3 linked regions of the Rhinolophus ferrumequinum genome follow. The protein of the gene in region 1 binds, or shares a complex with, the protein of each later gene. Links are inferred from orthologs where the notes say so. Each region holds a gene or a part of one and is shown on either strand. Other genes may lie near its edges.

Region 1 (7,632 bases):
CTGATTATCTTCTCTGGACCAGATAGTGGGCGAGGTACACGGACCTGTGTGCCTAAAAGAGCTCTCTCGATTTCACCATTCCGACCTGTCCTCCCCAAGTCTTCCCCAAGTCATGGCACCATCTAGCTGCTCAAGCCAGAAACCTAAGAGTCACCCTAATTTCCCCTTGCCCCATAATGCTGGCCCCTCTTTGCAATTCACCACAGCAGGTCCAGTTGATGATTCTACCTATGAAATGTACCTCAAGGCCACCCATTTTTCTCCGTCTGTGCTATTGCCACCCCTATCCAAGCCATCGTGGTTTCTGGCCATCATTACTGCAATGGCCTCCTAGCAGGTCTTCTCTGTTTCACTCCTGCACTATAATCTCTTCAACAAAAGTTCAGTGATCTTTAAAAAATATAAATCCAATCTCCAGCCTAAAACCCTTCAATGACTTCTTACCACTCCTCGAATCAAATTCCTACATGAGGTAGCCTTGCCAACCTCTCCCCCAGCTCCCACTTACACCCCAGCTGCAACCATATTCCAGACACAACAACCTAAAAAGAGTTCCTGGAACATGCCAAACTTCCACTTTCAAGGCCTATTTACGGAGACGGTTTATAAATAATTTTCTAAGTACTGAAATAACCAAGTCCACAAAAATCTCACTTTAAACACAGGAGTTTCATGTAACAAGAAGTATTACATAACTAAGAGAAAAAGATTTCTGATTCTGTTTAAAGGAGCTCACCAGTTATGCCCTGGGCCACAGGCGGAAGGATTAGATTATTTCCTAAAAATCACAGATCCCGTGCCCTGCACAACCTAACAGCCAACTAAATGCTGCCCTCATTGGGAAATGAAATAAAAACCACTATTCTGCACGTGTTTAAAACACACATCATGGCATCCCAAGCTCATTACAGCTGAGTAGGGGACCTAAAGAAGCAAAATACAAACTAGATATTCCCCAACAAACCTAAAACCTGTGCTAAAGGAAAGATTAAACATTAGGTCAGATTACAACAAACAAACAAAAAAAACCTCTTCCCCAAAACAGTTTATAAAATAATGAAGGGCGTGATTTGATCATCGAAATAGACTATATCAACAAATCTTGAAATACAAGTAATCAGAACACCTTAAAGCTCAAAAGAATTGCTAAACAAGTTTATTTAGGCCAAATGTAATCGTATCACCTTTTACATACCAAATTTATGAAAAAAATTCCTTACCCTATAATGTAGGCCGGCTGAAAATACAATGAGACCTAAGAGGTAAGCTCACCCTTGAGTGACAGTTCTGTAACAAGCTAAGGCAGAAAGCAAGGTCTTGGGAATATGCTCCTAAACTGTGTAGGTGAAACCAGGAAAAGAAACCACATTACCAGAAAAAGGTTACTGTTGCCAGAGTTGGAGCAAGCCAGAACACTGGACTAAGAAATGAGTCTAATCCTGGATGGCAGTTTTTAAAAGTCAACTCTTCAGTCTTTTTCTTCACCAGTTAAATAATCCTCTTCAATTTCCTCTTTCCAAACAAGTCCTATTACCTAAGTGGAACAGGTTGTTTGCTTTCCTTTGAACATCTTGCTTTCCTAAATCGTTAGATGTCTTGAATGTTGATGTCCACATATAGGCTTGATATCCTCCCGCTGCTTACCAGAGATGCCTGAATTAAACATCCAAGCCCCTCACACAGTCTCCCACAGTAAAATCCTCTCGAATCCCCACCATCTGATCACTGCCTAGTTAGGGCAATGGCAGCCCTTAGGAGAGGAGCCCAAACTCACATGGTACTTTCGTGCTGCCTCCGGGGAGTAACAAAGAGCGTGCGGGTGGGCCGAGCACTACTGGCATCTGGGTGGGCACTCCATGGCTTGGCATAGCTATGATCCAGAAAAACCAGGTCCAGCTCTCGCTCATGCACTGAAAGCTGGAAGAGCAGTGAGGTGCCCATGCGCCGTGCTGACGTCTGGAAGTCTCTCTCCGCACCCCGGTGGGCCATGTCAGTAGAGAGGTAGCAAGTCAGAGACCCGGTGTCTGTGTGCTAGTTGCCTGAAGTGGAAAAGTTCAGTCAATTCAAATAGTCTCAATGTCTTCCAACCTGGAGCATCTCTTATGCTTCTTACTTTTGTGACCCCTCTATCATTCATAATTGAGTATTTATCACACCGCAGACCCTCATCCACCATGGGGAGGGCTCCTGAGATCCCACACCACCTCCCCAAAAAGGCTAGGGCACCAAGCGTTCCTCCATATTCAATCGCTACAAAACGCGTTCCCTGGAAAGCCGAGTGACTCCACGGGTCCCAAAGGCCTCCCGTGGGCAGATACTAAACTAGCTCGGCCAGCGCCTCCGTTTCCTGTGTGGGCCAGAAGGGTCTTGGCAAACAACAGGAACGCCAGGTATTAGTTCTTCCCAAGCTAAGGGTCGCTAATGCTTCTCAGCACTCCCTCAAGCCTCCCGGGCGTCGCAGTACCAGGTGGGCAACGTGGGCCTCGTGGAAGGAAGCTCCACAAGTCTCTCGTTTTGGTTAAAAGTTTTGCAACGACTTCATAATACTCTGGCGTTTTAAAAAACACACACGAGGGCTCCTCCCGGAAGCCGGTAACAAAATGCCATCCCAGGAGGGCCTCGCCCTCACCCGGGGTGGGCGGTGCCCCGCAAACCGCCCGGGACTCGGGCCTCTCCTGGGGGTCTCGCCGCTGAATCTCCAAACGGCCCCATCCAATAGGCGGGGTTTATCGTTCGCATTTCGCAGACGAAGGCACCGGCTCAGGAGAATTAAGTGATTTGGCCAAGGTCACCCAGAGTTCGTGACGAAGCGCGGCCTCGCACCCGCCGGGCCTGGCCCGGTTCGGCGCCCGCGGCCCCCGGCCCAACACGCCTGGCCGCCCCGGCCTTGGTTCCAGCCCCTGATCCTCGCATGCCCGGGAACCCCGAGGCCCTCGACGAGTCCCCCGCCCGCTCCGCCCGGGGCCGCGACCCCTAGGGCCCGCCACCCGCCAGGTCGACCCTCCCTCACCCGCAATCCGCGGGCCGCGCGTTCGGCCCGGGCCGACTCTCTGCGCGCGTGCGCGTCACCGCCCCCACGCCTAGCGACCGGGTGCCCAGCAAAACGCGGAAGCGGATCATAGCCTGGGAAGGGAGGGGCGGGGAGCGGGAAAACCCGGAATAGATACTGCTGCGCCACTAAGGCGGGAAGGGGAGAGTCGGGAAAGCAAGGGCATGGGAGGCAAAAAGTCTGCGCCGAGGCCGGGGTCCCACCTCCTGCATTTTCAGCGGGAAAGCGAGGGCCATGGAGGAGAGTGGCTTCTGCAGCCCGGGCCTGCTGCCCACACCCTGCTGTTCCTTCGCCCTCCATCTCCCAGACCAGGCCCCCCCAAATAGGCTCCTGAAGAATTTACTCTTAAGAAACAAGCACCATATAAATAAAAGTAAAAGTAAAAAGTTTCTGTGAGCCTAAACCTGCTCTAGAAAAACTAAAGTCTGTTAAAAATAAATAAAACATCCAGAACTTTCCCAAGTTTTGCTGAAATGGGATAATACATGGTACCTGACAAGAACACAAATAGATTTCAAGATGGTAGTTACCACGAGGAACCCCAGAGTGTTCTAGAAGAAGAAAGATTTCCTACAAGGGGTTGGGGTGGTGTTGTGAAGGGGAAGTCACCAGAGGCTGGTTTCTGAAGGACCAGGCCATTGCAGGAGGACTGGAAAGGTTGGTGAGGGCCCCTGCAGAGATAGCAATAGGCCAAATACAGCCCCCAAACCATTTTCTTTTTCCTTCACATTACTTTCTTAAAATTTTATTCCATTGCAAACTTTATACTTGGGAGATTTCACGTAAACATCCAGATTTCTGGATTCTCTTGAAAAATTGGTGGCTGTGGCATCACTGGACCCACCTTCCAGTGGGGTAGGCAAGGGGTCTGCATCAGCTTCACTCAGCAGTGGGCTCTGGGGCATTTGATTCAAAACTCAACCACACACACACACACACACACACACACACACTCACACACCACCCCCAGGCTAGATTTAAATGCAGATATCCCTGGGAAGGAAAACACAATCAGAGGTCAAGTCCAGTCAGTTTAGGGTGATTAGGGGATTGGTTCATTTTGGTTGCCCTACCATGGCAGGAGTGAAACTGCTGACTTGTAATGGCAGTGGATATAGTGGGAAGAGTCACAGTGCTCCAGACAGCCTGTACAATGCCACAGGGAGTCCTGAGTGTCCAGAGGAAAGGTGGAGGTTGGGGGCAGGCAGTGGAGGAAAGGAGGCAAATTGTCACTTCACAATTCTGGACTGTTTCCAACATGACAGAGAGCCTCTCTATAGCAGGGCTGTCAACACCGTAGTGCTTGTCCTGTGGGTGTTTTTGTTTCTTTTTCTGTGCCCATAGCAGACATGATTAGTTAATAACAGTCCACTCTCTGTGAACGCAGATGCAGCTTTAAAATCATTTTCTCTGCCCAGGAATCCAAGTATTCACTATCAGTGGATTAGAGATGGCCCTCTCTTCCTATAGCATTCCTCCTTCCTCTGATATCCTGTAGGATACATTTGGCCTTCATTCACTCACAAATACTTCTTAAATTCCAGTCTGTGATAAGTAATGTGTTACGTGCTGAGGATACAGCATTGACAAGGCATATTTCTTTTTAATCTACGTAAATGATTGTTTAATTCATAATTGTGATAACAAGGGCTAGTATTTAGAGAATGCCAAAGAAATTCTAAGTGACGTAAATGACTTAGCTCATTTAACCCTCTCAATGAGTTTGTCAGCGAGGTTCTATTATAGTCACGTCCAGAGAGATAAAGTACCTTGCCCAAGGTTACACAGTCAGTACCAAAGGCAGAACTGGGACCCAGGCAGTGGGGCTCCAGAACCTAGGCATTAACCTCTCGCAACTCTGCTTCCCACCATGCCTACCACAATAAGAAAAAGTGCAAGGTGATGAGAACAGTGACCCAGTCTTGGTTTGGGTGATGGGGAAGGTGTCCCTGTGAAAGTGACATTGAACCAACAGGGGAATGAGGTAACATGGGTAGAAGCTGGGAGAGAAGCTCTCTGGGAGAAGCAACAGCAAAGACAAAGGCTCTGAGGCAGAAAGCAGCTTGATAACGTTAAAACAAAACAAAACAAAAAAACGTGGACAATGTTTTCTAGGAAGCAATTGTCAGGGAGTGGAGAGACAGACATAGACCAGAGCCTGCAGGGACCTAGAGACCCCAGTAAGATTTTTGGTACTGGCTTTAGACTGCTTAGTGTTAATTTTCCTCTGTGTTTTGTAAAAAAAAAGCATAAATCCTCAAAGTCAGGAACATTGACCTAGTTTGTATCCTTCAGAGAACATATCCCAGGACTTAAGGAATGGTTTCTGTGTTGACTGATTGATGATTGATTGGTTGGTTGACACCAGAACAAGAGACACAGTTGAAGATGAAAAATACATCTTTACCACCTCACAACCTCTAGAATGGCTAAAAAATCAATGGTGACAACAAAAAACATGATAAAAAGTGTTGGAAATCATGTGGAGAAATAAAAATACTCATCTGTTGCTGGCTGGATTATAAAATGGGGCAGCCACTGTGGAAAATAGTCTGCTAGTTCCTCAAAAAGTTAAGCACAGAATTACCATACGACCCAGCCATTCTACATACATATGCAAGAGAACTGAAAACGTATGTTTACATAAAAACAAGTATACAAATGTTCAAAGCAGCATCATTCATAATACCGAATAGTGTCAACCTAAATTTCCATCAACTGATGAATGGATAAACAAAATATGGTATATTCATATAATGGATTTATTAAGCCGTAAAAAGGAATGAAATGCTGATACTTGTCACAACATGGATGAACCTCGAAAACATGCTCAGTAAAAGAAGCCATCATAGGAGCATTTGAGATTTTGCTCCCCAGCAATTGTTATCAGTTTGGTTCAAATAAACTCTTTGGTTCAAATAAACTCAAATAAACTCAAGGAGGAGGAGGAGGAAGAGGAGATGAGGAGGAGGAGGATGAGAAGGAGGAGAAAGGGGAGGGGAAGGCAGTTACGAAAGGCCACCTATTGTGTGATTCCATTTATAAGAAATGTCTAGAATCAGCAAATCTATGCAGACAAAAACTGGATTCATGGTTTTCAGGGCCTATGAGAAGGGGGAAAAGAGAAGTGAATATTAACAGGTAGGGAGTTTCTTTTCACAGTGAGGAAATGTTCTGGAATTAGATAGTGGTGATAATAATTGTATAACCTGGTGACTATATTAAAAACCTGAATTATACAGTTATGACATGTAAATTATATCTCAGCAAAGCTGTTATTAAAAAAAAAAAAAGCGGGGGCGGCCTGGTGGCTCAGGTAGTTGGAGTGCTGTGCTCCTAACACCAACGTCATGAGTTTGATTCCCACATGGGCCAGTGAGCTGTGCTCTCTACAGCTAAGATTGTGAACACAGTTCTCCCTGGAGCTGGGCTGCCGTGAGCAGCCAGAGGTTGGTGTGAGCTGCCGCAGGCTGCTGAGTGCTGCCGTGGGCTATGGTGTGCTGGCCAGCGTGAGTGGCCGGCTGCTGTGAGTGGCCGGGTCCACAGACAAACAACCGGGGAGGGGGAGAGGGGGTGGAGCGCAAGACTCATAATACCAGCATGGCCAGGGAGCTGTGTCTTACACAACTAGACTGAGAAACAAGGGCTTGAACTGGAGGGGGGGAGGCAGAGAAAAGGGGAGAAAATGTTTACTGTTTCAAGCCACTGAGATTTTTGATTTGTTTGTTACCTCAGCATAACAGAGCCCATCCTGATTGACACATCCAACCAGGTTGTCAGTCAAGTGCAAGGGCAGAATAAAGACATGTACAGATCTGCAAACACTCAAACGGTTTCATCAACTAATATACATTTTTTTAAACATTCATTAATTTTCACGTTAATCATTGGATAAGATGTAACTTATACGATGTTCAACCCTAAAGCAGAAAAAGCCTTCATGTGGATGCCAAGAGTCAATAACTCAGCTCCGTCCTCATGCCCAGAGTCCTTGAGTGCAGTTAGGATGCCACAGCAAAATTCCAATGGCACTAGCCAACATAGGAGCTCATTAATTAAAAAGCTAGTTTCTGGGAGATCTGGTCAAGATGGCAGAGTAGGTAAACACTGTGCTTACCTCCTCTCACAACCATATCAAAATTACAACTAAACTGCAGAACAACCATTATTAAGAATCGCCTGAAGTCTAGCTGAACCGAAGCCCCGCAACCAAGGACATACAGAAGAAGCCACCTTGAGACTAGTAGAAGGAGCAGAGATGCGGAATTGGCTGGTCCCACACCCGTATGTGACCATTTAAAATTGGGAGGGATAGCTCGGCTGCAGAGGGCCCCCATCCCGGAGGAGTGAGGGGTCCTAGCACCACACCAAACTCCCCAGCCTAGGGTTCCAGTGCCGGGGAGAGGAGTACCTACAACCTCTGGCTGTGAAATCCAGTGGGGATGGTGGCCAAGTGGAGCGGAGGGCAGCTGGAGTCCCAGGCATTTCTCTTAAAGGGCCCGTGCATAGACTGACTTGCTGTCAGACCCACTCATTTTGAGCTCCAGCACTGGGGCAGAAGATCGAAAGGTGCCAGGGACATA
Region 2 (7,063 bases), on another chromosome or scaffold:
TCTCCCCTATACTTTCTCAAGTGCATAAGTTATTTTTCCCCCCCATAATCAAAGCCTTTTTATTTTATGTACAAAGAGCTGACACTGTTTCTGCTATAAGGTAGTTAGCTTGCATGATTCACTCATGGAAGTTCACTTAGTCCAACTTAATGAAGCCTATATCCTTCGCGTACTGACGGAAACATTGGCGACACATATTGAGGCCGTATTTCCGGATCAGCCCGTGCCGGTTTGAGCAGACGTGGCAAGAACGAGAACCCTGGCCGAATTTTCTTGGATGGCTCCAGTAGAGCTGCTGGTGACCCATCTTGCTCCCTCGGGCGCAACGAGGTAAAAAGGTCAAGTGCATAATTTAACGTCCAAAAATTTTCTGAAATTAAAGACTTCTAAAAGAGAATCAAATCCTGCTTTGAAGCAAGAGTGATGAACCACGGCACTTTAGTTTACAGCTATTTTTGCTCACAAATAGCTATCTTCAACCCTCCTAGGTTATTAATCTACCAACAGTATGCAATACATTCCATATAGTAACTACATAAAATATTTAAAAGCTTATGTGGAGTTACAACTTACTTTAGGGGATCTTCTTGATCACTGTCTATGCTATCAGCTTCACTGTCAGGGTCACCTCTCCATGTCTGATCCACAGTAATGGGTTCCTGCTCCCCATCACTCCAGCTGTCTTCATCTAAGGCAAGGAAGGGAGAGTAGCCATTAAGACTTCCCATTTCTGTAACTCCACCACACAAAACTATATTACTTAACATATCAAACCAAATTAAAATAACGTAGTATAAAGATACTGGCAAATAAAAATGGCTTAAAAAAATACAACCCAGGTAAGATTACTTTTAACATAAATGAATCAACCATGCCTTCAAAAGGTCAGAAAGTCCAACTCAAAATTATTTTTGGTTCCTGAAATTACCTTACCTAGCAAAGATGAAAAATATATAAACAGCAATGAAGAAAACAGTCATAAACTCAGGAAAGTAAATCTAAGCACACACTACTTAAAACTGAAAAGAATTCGTGAACAACATAGCAATCCTGGAATGAATTAACGATGATATTGTATTATCAAGTGCCATATATGTTCAAGGCACTGTGCTCAACCAAAATAAATTCTGTTAACTTTCTCCCTCCTTTTTCATTCTAGGGGAGAAGATCCTTACCCAGAATTCGGCTGGCTTCACTGCGACTACTTTCTGGAGTCTGAGACCCCAGCTCTGTCTTAGCATATGAGCTCAGCTGGCACAAGAGTGTTTCACCCACAGGGCCTGGACCAGTCTTCTTCATTTGAGCATGAAGTGCCAGGGCATTCCTACGGGCGTGTTCAGCACAGAAGGACACCCTAAGGAGACAAAATATTAACACTGTATACTCAGGTTCCTTCTTGAAAGAATTCAGTGCTTTCCATAGTTGCAGATCTTTAGATCATTTTTAGGAAATTAAAATAATCATTATCTTCATTTATACATTAAAAAGGCCAGTGAGGCAGAGTAATTTCACTGGCCCATGGTCAGCTCATTTAGTATTACTAAAGAGAAATGCAGGTGGCATAATCTAGTACACTATCCATCAAACAAAACATTCCCACTATAAAAATGCTGACATCATTTCACAAGAAATCTGATCCACTTTTGTCTTTCAAAACTGATTTTGGAAGGCAATTCTACATTTTACTTCAGTATTAATACACTAGTTAATAAGATGTGGAACACAATTTTAAAACCAAAAGGTGTATGCAGAATTATCTATCAAAATTATGCTTCTGCATGGATATTTTTGCTTACATAATGAAAGCTACGAAGCCTTTCCCAGAAAAATACACATAAATACAATTTTGCGTATTATTTAACAAGGTTCAGGCCCAGCCAAAAGAGTCATGGATCCCAGGATTAAGAATAACCCTTTATTTTACAGATAAGTGAAAAGATCCAACGAGATGAACTGAGTGGCCCAACTGTAAGTGGTCTCCTTCCGGTCTCCACCTTTTTATTTGCCAACGATATAGTCATAAACCCAATTTAACAAGCACGTGAGCTAAAAACTCGGTAGCTGTGCCCATACCCACATCATACTCCATCCAGCTCTCACTTTAAAAGTACAAACAACAAAATTATCTACATATATTTACCCATCTTTCTTCTCCGGCTTTGGGGCAGCACTGGGACATCTTTTCCCATTCTTCGTCGATATATAACTACACTGCTTGAAGGGTGCATTCTTATCTTCAAGAATATGTTTAATGCAAAATTCCTGCCCGTCCAGACGAGGTTGCGAGCATGGGCGATGAGTAAATGAACAAGAGAGGGGCTCCTGAGACCTGGGCACTGGGGTAATCCTCCCCCGATTGGTCGGCAAGACGTGGATCCGAATCCTGTTCATACCAAAACCTGCAGGATCACACACAAGACCAAAAAAGCCCTTACCCTTTCCAAAAATTCATCCTCCACAATATGCGGGCAGCCCGCGGGTAGTTTCTAAAAAACAGAAGTAATGCTCCGTAACTACCCTCAGCCAGGTCTCCCCAGGCATTAGTGAATTTTCCTCCCCTCCACTTCTCCCTCCACGCCCGCACCCACCCCGACAACCACCACGTTAAAAGTATCTCAGGGACTCGCACAGCCCGCAGCTCTAGCGGGAAGCACCAGCGCCCGCCCCACGCGGAGGCAGCAGCGCCGCAGGGCCCCGCCTCCGCCTCCCAGTACACGGCCTTTGTCCCGGCCCGCCTCAAAGCTTAGGGCTGAGCCCTGCCTGTCCTCGGCTGCCCGTACAAGCGCCATTTTGTCCTAAGACTCCGGGCACCGGAGAATCTGGGTCTTGGGAGCCTATAGGAGGAAAGCAACCCCGATGCTAATCGAAGCAGAGGAGCAGCTCGGAAGGGGCAAAAGGGACGAAACAGCAGCCTAACTGCAAAAATGAAGAGCAAGCACCGCCGCCATCTTACCTTCGCGGCCACTCCGCACCACTCTGGCCGCGTCACCCGCTTCTAACTCGGCCCCGCTCCTTTCCGGGCTCCCAACCGCTGATTGGCTACCGCGCCTACGGCGGTGTGCCACCATTGGCCGAAGCCTGCTACCTATCAGGTTGGGGAGGGCGGGATTATGAGAAATGTGAGGCTGGGGTAGGCGAGACGACATGTCTGTCAGCAACTAGGGGAGAGTGAGGCGGAGCCAGCGCGGGCGGCGGGATTCCCTCGCGGCTGCTGCCGTATTTCCAACTCAGCGTCAGCGCGTCTGGTTTTCAGGCCTCTTTTGGGGTACTCTGTGGTCTTTGGCTGCTGCTACTTCAGCACCCCTATACAACCGGTAAAAAAAAAAAAAATCACACATCTGACTCTTACTGTTTATACAGGAAAAGCCCTTAGTTTTCTTTTGTGAGCAATTCATTTACTGAAACATTTTCTGAGTGTTTAAATCTGGGAAATTACATATATAAACATTTAATTTTCAGAGCAACCCTAACAGGTGGAGGCTATTATCTCTATAACCACGTTAAGATAACTGAGGAACAGAATGGGCCCATATCTAGTATATGGGGAGACAGGCAAACTTGAACCCAGCCCTCATTTTGTATCCCTTTTTGTCTCTCATATAGTAAAAAGAGGATTGGACTGGAAATAAGGAAATACGAGTTGTGGTTTAGGCTATGATTCTCTAAAATTCTCTACAATTCCATGCTAAATAATGCAGGTATATAAAAATGGCACACAATCCCAATTCTTTCCTTTAAGGATTTTTTTTTAAGTTTAAAGTATCTCTTTTTTTCATTTCCACCAGTTCTCTTGTAGAAATGAACCAACACTTTCTCCCCATAACCCTCTGGATCTTTTTTGCGTCCCAACCTGCCCAAGAACCCTTATCTGCTGTCAGTTTCATTTACGTAAGAGATTTCTCCATTATCAATGAGGTGAGCATGATTCACAGTGGAGGTGAGCATAGAGAATCCACACACACTCAAGAACAGCCCTCAGTTTAGGCACAAGGAATGATTAAAACAAAAACTGGAGGAGGGGGAGACAGGTGAGATGCTGTTCCCAGAAATTAGGGTAGCCCTAGAAGGCCCTCTCCGAAAATCTATTCATTCAACAAATATTTATTGAGCACATACATTAAGTGCCAGACACTGGGGATACAGAGAGAACAAGAAAGATAACCTGCTCTTTTAGAGTAAACATTCTAGAGCAGTTTGGGATTATGGATGCAATACAAACCTAATAGCAACTATGACTTACATACATAAGCAAATGGCAGGCACAATCCCAATTTTGTCCTTTAAGGATTTTTAAGGATTTAATAATTTACCCAATTAGCCTAGGGTAAAATTGGTCTCCTTATACAAAGAAGGCATTTGTTATAAATACCCCATAACTCAAAACTGTTTTATGAGGCAGTCACATTACAGAAAATCTGGGAATCAGAATCTGCAACCAATTATGGTAATATCAAAAAGGAATATTAAAACTACTATAGGAAATAATGTAAAGAGGCATTAAGGACTAGATAGGGATGTAACAAAGACTTTCCAAGACTTGTTTAATTAGAGAGTCTACTGAAGATCTTAATTGAAACCACGATCCTCCTGCTAAGCCCAAAGGAGACAAAAAATTGCTATTTAGAACCCCTTCCTTCTAAACTGGGGAAGAGGCAGATATTACTAAAGGGTCAAGATATTGGCAAATTCTTTGTGCTGTTTAACAAAGTAGATGTCTGTTTTTAATCCACTGAACGAACACTTTGCTAGCTATGGACAGTTTAAAGTGGACCCGAGGGTGTTTGCAAATAGAGGTTGGGAAAAGTGAATTCTTGAAGGAAAGGGAATTTTTTAAAATTTTGAGTTTTGGGGGCTAATCCTAGAGAAAGGTGAGAGATTGAGAATAATGAATGCCAAACTCCTGCTCCTTCTGCAGTCCTCCTCATCTCAATATAACTCCATCCTTCCAGTTAGTCAGGCCAAATACTGGGAGTCATCCTTCACTTTTTTCTTCCAACCTTATAGCAGCTCCTACTGGCTCCAACTTCAATATACTGTGTTTCCCCGAAAATAAGACCTAGCCGGACAATCAGCTCTAATGCGTCTTTTGGAGCAAAAATTACTATTATATAAAACCGAGTCTTATAGTAAAATGAGACTGGGTCTTAATTTTTGCTCCAAAAGACGCATTAGAGCTGATTGTCCGGCTAGGTCTTATTTTCGGGGAAACACGGTAGGTAACTTTTCATTACCTTCAGCACCTCCAACCTGTTCCAAGCCACTCTTATCTCTCACCTTTATTATTGTGAGTCTCCTTACCCTTGACCCCTACAATCCATTTTCAACACAGAAGCCCAAATAAACATTTTAAAACGTAGGCTAGATTATGTCACTTTTCTGCTCAAAAGTTTTCAGTGGTGCTCCATTTCACTGTCTTTATAATGGTTTACAAGACCTTAGTGTATCTAGACTTTTATTGCCCCGCTAACCACATATCCTACTACTCTCCCTCCTCACTAGCTACACTGGCCTTTTTCCTACGTTCTTACCTCAGAACCTTTGCACTTGTTTCCTGGAATGATCTTACCCCAACTATTCCCATGGCTTGCTCTCTCACCTTTTTCAGGTCTTTGCTGAACTGTAATTTCATGAGACCTTCCTCTTTTGCTGTCTTATTTCCAATTTCAACAATCCTACTTACCTGCACACACATACAAACTCCCTATCCCTCTTTCCCTGCTTTACATTCTCCAAAGTATTTATTATCTAACATACTGTTTTGTCTCCGCTGCAACTAAATGTAAGTTCGACGAGGGCAGGATGCTTGTTTATGCCATATTCCCATCAGTAATCAGTACATAGTATTTGGTACTATTTTCTGGTGCAGGAATAAATGAAAAGCAGGGCAGTGCCTGAAACTATTTTAGAAAAGGTGTATCTAGTGCAGCATGTTCTCTATCGATTTCCTTTTGTTCAGCATCATTTTGCTATAACGTTGAGAAAAAAGAATCGCTTCCCGGCTGTGGCCACTGTGTAGTTTGCATGTTCTCTCCAGGTTTGCGTGGGTTTCCTCCTGGACTACAGCTTCCTTCCACATCCTAAAGATGTGCAGGGAGGTGAATTGGCTTGTCTAAATTGTCCCAGTCTGAGTTGAGTGTGGGTGTATGAGATGCATCCTACAATAGAGAGGGGCATTCTGTCCAGGGTGGGTTGGAAAAGCAAAAGGTTGGAAAATTATCTTACTTTTTAAAATTAATCTTTCTTAAATGTATGCATAATAGGTCACAAGTATTTCAATGTTTAATATTAGAAGTGTTTGGGGTCCTTATTATAAGTTTGATTTTTTTTTTAATCAGAAATATGCCACAGGAACTTACCTCTTCAATTAGCCTACGGTAAAATTAGTCTCCTTATCTGTCACTTCACTTAAAGTCAGTTTCCAAGAACCTACTGATGATGTTATTTAAGTTTCAAGTGTACAATTAAATAATACATCTTCTGTGTATTGCACTGTGTGTTCACCACCCAAAGTCGAATCTTCCGTCACCATATATTTGATGGAGTATTTGAGCATAAAAATTCTTTCCCTTTAAATGTGTAATTTACAAGATTGGCTGTGTGCATAATTTTATTATGTCCCAGGAAAAGGGTAAGTATTCACTATTTTTCCAGGCACCAACAAGAATGCTATTCATTTTTTCCTTCCCAATGCACTCCTAGTCTATACCAACATTTTGGATTTTTCAAAGAAACCAACTATACAGTCATGAATCATGTTAACAGTGCTTGCTAGATAAGCAGTACATTTTGCTATCATCTGTTCAGCTATGTATTTTTTGTGTACCAGTTACTCTTCCACATATCTATGCAACAATGTTCAATGAGGGTTCCTCCCCGGCCCCCAACTACATCATGCTTTATATTATCAGGTGCAATGTGATGACCAAATCTTAGGTCTTTCCAATGGTCTCAATTCCCCCAGGATCTTGTGCAGTAAGAAAATACATACTCCTATCAAAACTAAAACAAAACTATAATCATATCAATAAAATGACAGTTAAAAACTAATTTGGGGGGAGCGGAC
Region 3 (7,241 bases), on another chromosome or scaffold:
TGGAAATACCCCAGCATAAAGCTAACCAATCACCTATTTTCACAGAGAAATCTTTGGCTATTATGTATATATAGCATCTCACTACTCAGTGTATTTCAATAACATTAGCATCACCTGGGAATTATAAACGCAGATACTCAGGCCCCGCCCTAAACCTACTGGATCACAATCAGTATTTTAGCAAGACCCGCCCCTGCCCAAGTGATTTATACACACATTCAAGTTTGAGAAGCAGTGGCGTAGTTGAACACTGCACTGTACAGAGCAGTACACAGATAAGCACCAAACAGGCAGACAAAGTACCTGTTCACTTGCTGTATATCACAGTTTACGTACTGCTCAGACAGACCTCCAGTGTTTTTTCATGAATTTGGTACTTACTAATAATGACCAAATAATCTAAATGTGGAATCTATTTCACTTCCTGAAATAGCACAACCTAGCTCCAGGGCTTTCTTGAACATGAAATATAAAACAGCTTAGTTATTCTGAAAATACAATAATGGTTAATTTTATTCAAGTTCCAACACTCAGTTCAGAACACTTCTCCACAAGCCCCATTATTTCCTATAGGTTCCTGGGAGTCTCATTATATCCCCTAGCATCCCTATGAAGCAGGTGCTTGGCAAACGTCCAACCTCCAAATGACATTCAGAAGGATGTAATCCTAAAAATGCTGTATTTTCCTGCCTTGTCCTGCCAGTATAGCTTCGCAGGCCCAAACTCTCTCCTCCACTGAGGCCTCTTACAGCTGCACACTCAAGTACTTCCTAAAAAAGGAGAAAGGTCAGAGGTGTCATTATCCCATAAGCACTTGGGGTTTCAGCTGTGGAGAAATTAATCTGGTTAGGGGCTCAGGCAGAAAAGCCCTAAGTAAGATCTGGAAAGGCAGAGGAAAATACAAAAGAACCTACTGAGAGGCTCTTAAAGAGAGAAGAGGGCCCAGATACTTGTAGATTTTAAGGTGAGGGTTGGGAGCAAGGCTTGGCAGATATGTGTGAGGATGATAGGGAGAGTTAAGTCCATCCCCCACCTGCAACCCATGGACAAGAACAAAAAGACTAAGAGGTTCCTTCAAATGACCTCTTTTCTTGATAAAAGGAAAGAAGAAAAGCCAATAGAGAGAGGAAGTTTTATTAGCTGAAACCAAGACTAAAAGAATTTCTTGAGGGAAATAAAGCAAAGAAGAAAACAGTACTATCAAGGCAGAATGGTAAAGGAAGCAAATCACCAGGAGGATTAAGAGTCCTGTGAATAACCAAAGAAATGAGAGGGGATTCATTTCCAGTTTGAATTCAGTGCTTGGGGCATCAGGTAGTCCTGGACCTGAGGTCACCTCCAGCGCCAGGGGAAGAAAGGGGAAAATCTCTACAGCCTCCAGCAAGCAGAGCAGTGTCCAATGAGAGTTAGAAACCAAAAAAATGCCTGGGGATAGAGCAAGCCGAGAGAGAAGAGAGTTCCGGTTAGCAGAAATCAGAAAAAGGTAAAGTAGACATAGAAAAGGAAAACATACAGACACTCTTTTAGGAGGGGGACCCTCCCTTTAGGGGAAGGGAATTCGGGAGGTGTGACTGGGAATTGTGCTCAGAAAAAAAGGCCATAGAAGCAGGGAAAGTGTTGTGCTCAAGATACCCATTCATCAATAGAAGAGGAAATGGGTGCAATGACCAGATAGGAAAAGCACCTAAATGGAAATGGGAAGGAAAAAAGGGAAGGAAACTGAGGAAAGAAAATGTCTTGGAGGGCAGAAAAGCTCAAGAACCATGGACCAAGGTTTGGTAATGATCGGACTCAGAAAAAAGGTGTGCCCTCCCAGATTTAAGAAGCATCAGGAAAGTTACTGCTCCCTGAGAATGGTGTAACCAAGAGGGGTGCATTCTGTACATTTGGGGATACAAACACACTCTCAGACATTAAAATAAGTATCTCCCAGGAAATACGGTAGTTCGATTTGGGGAACTCATGAAAAAGGATGCAAATCCAAAAAGTGACTGGAAAGTGCAGCGAATTCCCTTATTTGTGTAATTGCAAATATGTACCCTTAAACTTCAGGATTTCGATTTTATTTTCAGTAACATCTGGAAACGAGGTGCACCCCAGATTTGCAGGGTTGGAGAAACGAAGTGTCCCCTAAATTTAAGAAATTCTGGAAAGCATGTTGCCATATTTGGGGCCTGGAAAAGGGATTTTTCCTTGGATTTGTGGAAACAGAAGTACCCCAAAACTTGGTTACTGGACTCCAGGTTTGAGAGAGTCGTTAATGCGGCGAACTTCCAAATTTGAAAGGGAGTGCTTGCTCAGATTGAAGGCTTGAAAAAGGAAGTGTCCTCCCAGTTTGGGGGGGGGGGTCTGGGAAAAGGGATACATCCTGTTCGAAGGGCTTTGGAAACTGAGCTGGAGCCTCAGAAAGGGGGTGCACCACCCACATTTCCAAAACTAGAGAAAGGGGACACTCCCATAGTCGGGGGTTAAGAAAGGGGTGTGCTTCCCAGAATAGGATAAAACAGTCAATTAAAAAAAAAAAAGCGTTCCCAAAGCACATGAAAACAGCAAGGGCTGGTGGTGGAGCTCTCGGGGGCCTCATAGTTCAAGCTGTGGCCCTAGCGCTTACCCCCCACCCCCAACACGGCCCGCTCCGCGCCCTGGGCCCGCACCCCGCGGCCCAGCCCCCTCAGGCGGCGCTGATTGGCCGCGGCCGCCGTCACTCCAGCGGGCAACCCTGGGGATTGGGCGCCGCTCGCACGACCGCCACGCTCTCAGCAGCGGTCCCCGGGCCTCCCTCCGCGCTGGGCGAGACGGGCCAAGCAGGGAGCGGGGCCGGGCAGGGGACCCGAGCAGCGGTGGTGTCCGTAACCGTCCCCGCCCGCACGGCGCGCGCCTGGCGCGGGTTCGCCCCGACCCGGCTTCGGCCACCCGGCTTAGCCTCGCCGCGCCTCACCGCGAGCTCACCTCACAGCCCGGCTCCGGCTGCGCCGCTCCAGGACCAACCGACAGAAGGACTCTGCGTGCTGCGCACCACGTGACCCTCGGGACGCGCCCAGCGTATCCCCCGCCCCCCACATACACGCACCATCGCCACCACCGAGTGACGCAGCTCCCCAGCTGCCCCGCCCTCGGCCCCGCCCAACCCGGTCACCGTGGCGACGGCTCAGGCGGGCCACGCCCACTGCCCTGACGCGCGGGAACCCGACCGGCGCCCTGATGCGGACGGAGCTCGAAGTCCTCACTCACCTGCAATCAGTGAGACCAAAGCAAACCTGGGACTGGACACTATCCATCGCCTGTTAATTTTGCCTCCTAAATGCCTGTCGAAACCTCCCACTTCTCTCCATCCCATTCCCAACTCCCGGGTCTAGGCCACCATCACCTCTCTCCTAGGTGACGGTTGTCCCCTCCAGCCTATTATTCTTCCCCCTTCCAATCCATTCTCCACACACAGACAGTAGGAGCTTTTCAAAAAGCAAATATAGTCACAGGCTTAAAGTCTTTTCCCCCCACTTTTCTTCGGATTAGGATCTAAACCTATCTACCAGGCTCTGGAAAGTCTGGACCTAACCTGCCTCTCCTCACATGCTAATACAACCAGCTTCCCCAGTTCTCAGCCTCTTTCAAATCCTCAAAGAAGCCAGGTACCTTCCCACCTCCGGGCCTTTGTACTAATCCCTCTTCCACTTTGTCTCATTATCTGCTGGGTAAGGATTCCAATTACTGGTGTGAAGAGCTGTATTTAGCCTCCAGAGACGGAGATGGGAGTTGCAGCCACCCCAGAAGGTTCTGAGATGTTTTCCCAATGAGACTTGGAAAGTCCCAAAGAGAAATGCTAACCATTTGTAATTTATGAGGGCAATAACTTTATTTTACATTGGAAAGACGACAGAGCAGCCAGATTGCACTTCTTTAAATGTAAATCTAATCATGTCATTGTCCTGCTTAAAACAATCTCTCCATCTGCATCCTCCACTCTTTTTCATCCTCTAGCCACACTGACTTTCTGTCAGTTGCTATGGCTCTTTCCAAGCTCTCTCCAGCTGCTGGGTCATTGAATAGGCTGTTCCATCTTGCAAAGCTGACTCTTCATCATGCAGGTCTGTTTGTCATCTCCTCAGTGAGATCCTCTTTGATTACATTATCTAGAAATGCTTCCCTCAATCACATGCATGCCTCCCCCATAGCAATTATTCTCTATCACTTCAATTTCAACAGAGCACCTAGCACAGTTTGTTATTATTTCATTTGTCTGTTCTCTTGGTTGTATTTGTCTACTTCCTGAATTTTAGTTAGGGACTATCTTGTACCTAATAAATTGTCAGAACCTGACGAATAATAGATGCTTCATGTGTATCTGTGAAAGGAATGAAAGAGAATAACATTGAAAAAAAAATTGGTAGATCCTTCTTTATGACCTGAGTCCATAGAAGAGGTGCTTTTCATATCAGGGCTGGAGACTGAAGAGGGCATTACCTCAGCTCAAGTAAAAACAGAGGACAGCTCTTCCCGAAAGCAGCCTGAGGTGACCTCTGAAAATGGTTCGCTATTCTCTTGACCCAGAGAACCCCACAAAATCATGTAAATCGAGAGGTTCAAATCTACGGGTTCATTTTAAGAACACTCGTGAAACTGCCCAGGCCATCAAGGGTATGAATATCTGAAAAGCTACCAAGTATTTAAAGGATGTCACGTTACAAAAGCAATGTGTGCCATTCCGTTGTTACAATGGTGGAGTTGGGAGGTGTGCCCAAGCCAAACAGTGGGGTTGGACACAGGGTCGTTGGCCCAAAAAGAGTGCAGAATTTTTACTGCACATGCTTAAAAATGCAGAGAGTAATACTGAACTTAAGGGTTTAGATGTAGACTCTCTGATCATTGAGCAGAGCCAGGTGAACAAAGCTCCCAAGATGCAGCGAGAACTTACAGAGCTCACGGGCGCATTAACCCACACATGAACTTCCCCCTGCCACATTGAGATGATCCTAACTGAAAAAGAACAAATTGTTCCTAAACCAGAAGTGGAGGTTGCTCAGAAGATCTCCCAGAAGAAACTGAAGAAACAAAAACTTATGGCCCGGGAGTAAATTCAACATCAAATAAATGCTAATAAAAGGAAAAAAAAAACAAAAAACAGAGGACAGTGCTTAGGAAGAGGTTTGGGGAAACCAGGGACAAAAGCTTCAGCTGTGCTCACTTCAGCAGCACATATACACAAATTAGAGAAGATTAGTGTTAGCCCCCAGGATAACATTCAAATTAGTGAAGTGTTCAGTATTCAAACAAACAAACGAACAAAAAAACCCACAAAATACCTTCAGGAATTTGAGGACCAGAACCACCTACATGAACTCAGCTAAGTGCTCAAATACAGGAAGAAAGGACCTTTGCAGAATCCTCTCAGTTTACATTTGTTAACGTGAAGTTGCTCAGATGTTAGTGGCTATTGTAGCATATACAGAATTTTTTGCCCCACAACCACAATAATGCCAAGAATCCCAGACTCCATAGTCCCATAAAAATATAACAATGTTTCTTCGTTTATTCGACCTGCATGTATTTAGACCCAAGGTTGAGGTGGGCACCAAAACAGAGAGCAGAATGACATTTAGGTCCTGTTCTCAGAGAGCTCACAGCCTGGTAAAGAAAGCGTCACAATTTGTAAGTTAAAAATTTTTTGTCTGTTGCAAGAACAACCAAAAGAGAAATATAAGGATATTGGGGGTCCAGAGCATCAACAAGAGGCCAGGCTTGGAAAGCAATCAGGTGCAATAACACCTCCAAAAAGAAGCAACACCTGATGTGGCCAGCAGCACCACACACCACAACTGGGATTCAATCCTAACATCCCCTTGTCTTTGAGTCACTCACTCAAGAGGCAAAGTCTTGTCCAAGAGCTGTTTTTGATTGGTCAATCTCTGATCACATGGATTAGACCACGCTGCTAAAGAAGAGAGGAACAATCTTCCCCAAAGGATATCCCTCCAAACGGGAAAAGGGGAGAATTGATGCTTGTTAGGCAAAACTAACTTGATACAGATATAAATAAAGTACGTTGGAAGTTAAGCTCTTTCTGATTAAAAAACCTGCAGAAACCTGGCTTGCTAGCTTCTTCTAAACTGGGCATTCACTGACTGCTAACCACAGATCTCCAGTTTGCAAAGTTCTGGTCTAAAGCCCAGGTCTTACCACTGCCTCCTTAGCAGCCTCCAACTTTCTGCCTTAAGAGCCTCCCCAGAATCTCAATAGCAGTTGGTCTCAACATCCCAATTCTTTCTTTGGTAGAGCCTTTCTTTGTACAGAATAGGAATTCAACTAACAGTTGTGATTGAGTGAATGACTGAAAGAATGAATGTGTAGCAGCCTCAACTCCAGAGAGTAGAATCTCTCTTGCTAAGTATCCAACAATTTCAGAACTGTGATCCCAGCCCATAAAAAGATTGCTCCCTGCATACACACAAGGTATACAGTAGCACAAGAAGCATTCAATACCTGCATGGAAGAGTGCTTTCCCTCTCTAAGCATCACTTTTCTTCAACTCTAAATTGGGTATCTACCTTCACAGCATTGTCACTTTTTTTTTTTTTTTAAAGGAGGGTGCAGCTCACAGTGGCCCATGCAGGGACTGAACCAGCAACCTTGGTGTTATCAGCACCAGGCTCTAACCATCTGAGCTAACCAATCACCCCCAGCATTGTCACATTTAAATTAAATAACATGTGAGAAAATGTATTGTAAACTGCAAAGTTCCGGGGAAATGATTTTCTGATTGCTTTCTTACTAGACTTGTCATCTAGAATATTCAAAATGTCCCCAGCTAAAGAGAAGCAGAACTAAAGATCTAACAGGAGATCGGATATTCAATTAGAAAAGTGATCTTTTCAGCTTCTACCCGGCAAACCTTTATACTCTGTCCTTATGTAACCCCAAGGCATTTACAATACTCAAGGGAAAAGAGGAAAACTAAAACAGAAAAGCAAGCCCCCACAGACCCTATGGACTCAGAGTATCATCAAGCTTCAGCATGTCCGTTTGCAAAGCAGGAACTAGAGTATGATATCTGCAGCGCCAAATTGAGTGTGAGAATTCAAAAAACCGGAAACCACAGTCACAACAGCGTCTGAGAGGTCCAAGAACCTCCACAAGGCACTAGGGGCCCACGGGAAGCGGGTTGAGTCTTGGCCCTGGCCTGAGGTCTTGCAGTCTGGGCCTCATGGAAAGTTCCTGAACTCCAAGCCTTAGTACTCTTCAAATGA

What was found.
Region 2: KANSL3 (region 1) and KANSL2 share a complex: the UniProt entries of both Homo sapiens proteins name them as parts of the NSL complex. The link is inferred for Rhinolophus ferrumequinum from reciprocal best matches to the Homo sapiens genes KANSL3 and KANSL2.
Region 3: KANSL3 (region 1) and PHF20 share a complex: the UniProt entries of both Homo sapiens proteins name them as parts of the NSL complex. The link is inferred for Rhinolophus ferrumequinum from reciprocal best matches to the Homo sapiens genes KANSL3 and PHF20.

Annotation. Positions count from the first base shown.
Region 1 is NW_022680356.1:2,127,142-2,134,773, forward strand, and holds the start of KANSL3 (KAT8 regulatory NSL complex subunit 3), read right to left. Parts: upstream 3,092-7,632; 5' UTR 3,011-3,091; intron 2,940-3,010; exon of another isoform or gene 2,630-2,939; intron 2,040-2,629; 5' UTR 1,990-2,039; coding exon 1,775-1,989; intron 1-1,774. UniProt on the Homo sapiens protein: Non-catalytic component of the NSL histone acetyltransferase complex, a multiprotein complex that mediates histone H4 acetylation at 'Lys-5'- and 'Lys-8' (H4K5ac and H4K8ac) at transcription start sites and promotes transcription initiation.
Region 2 is NC_046293.1:49,833,345-49,840,407, forward strand, and holds the start of KANSL2 (KAT8 regulatory NSL complex subunit 2), read right to left. Parts: upstream 3,036-7,063; 5' UTR 2,954-3,035; intron 2,487-2,953; exon of another isoform or gene 2,400-2,486; 5' UTR 2,392-2,399; coding exon 2,141-2,391; intron 1,355-2,140; coding exon 1,176-1,354; intron 689-1,175; coding exon 574-688; intron 477-573; exon of another isoform or gene 350-476; coding exon of another isoform or gene 137-349; exon of another isoform or gene 95-136; intron 1-94. Other genes in the region: 40S ribosomal protein S29-like, read right to left, coding at 137-349. UniProt on the Homo sapiens protein: Non-catalytic component of the NSL histone acetyltransferase complex, a multiprotein complex that mediates histone H4 acetylation at 'Lys-5'- and 'Lys-8' (H4K5ac and H4K8ac) at transcription start sites and promotes transcription initiation.
Region 3 is NC_046306.1:19,771,568-19,778,808, forward strand, and holds the start of PHF20 (PHD finger protein 20), read right to left. Parts: upstream 3,076-7,241; 5' UTR 2,950-3,075; intron 1-2,949. UniProt on the Homo sapiens protein: Methyllysine-binding protein, component of the MOF histone acetyltransferase protein complex.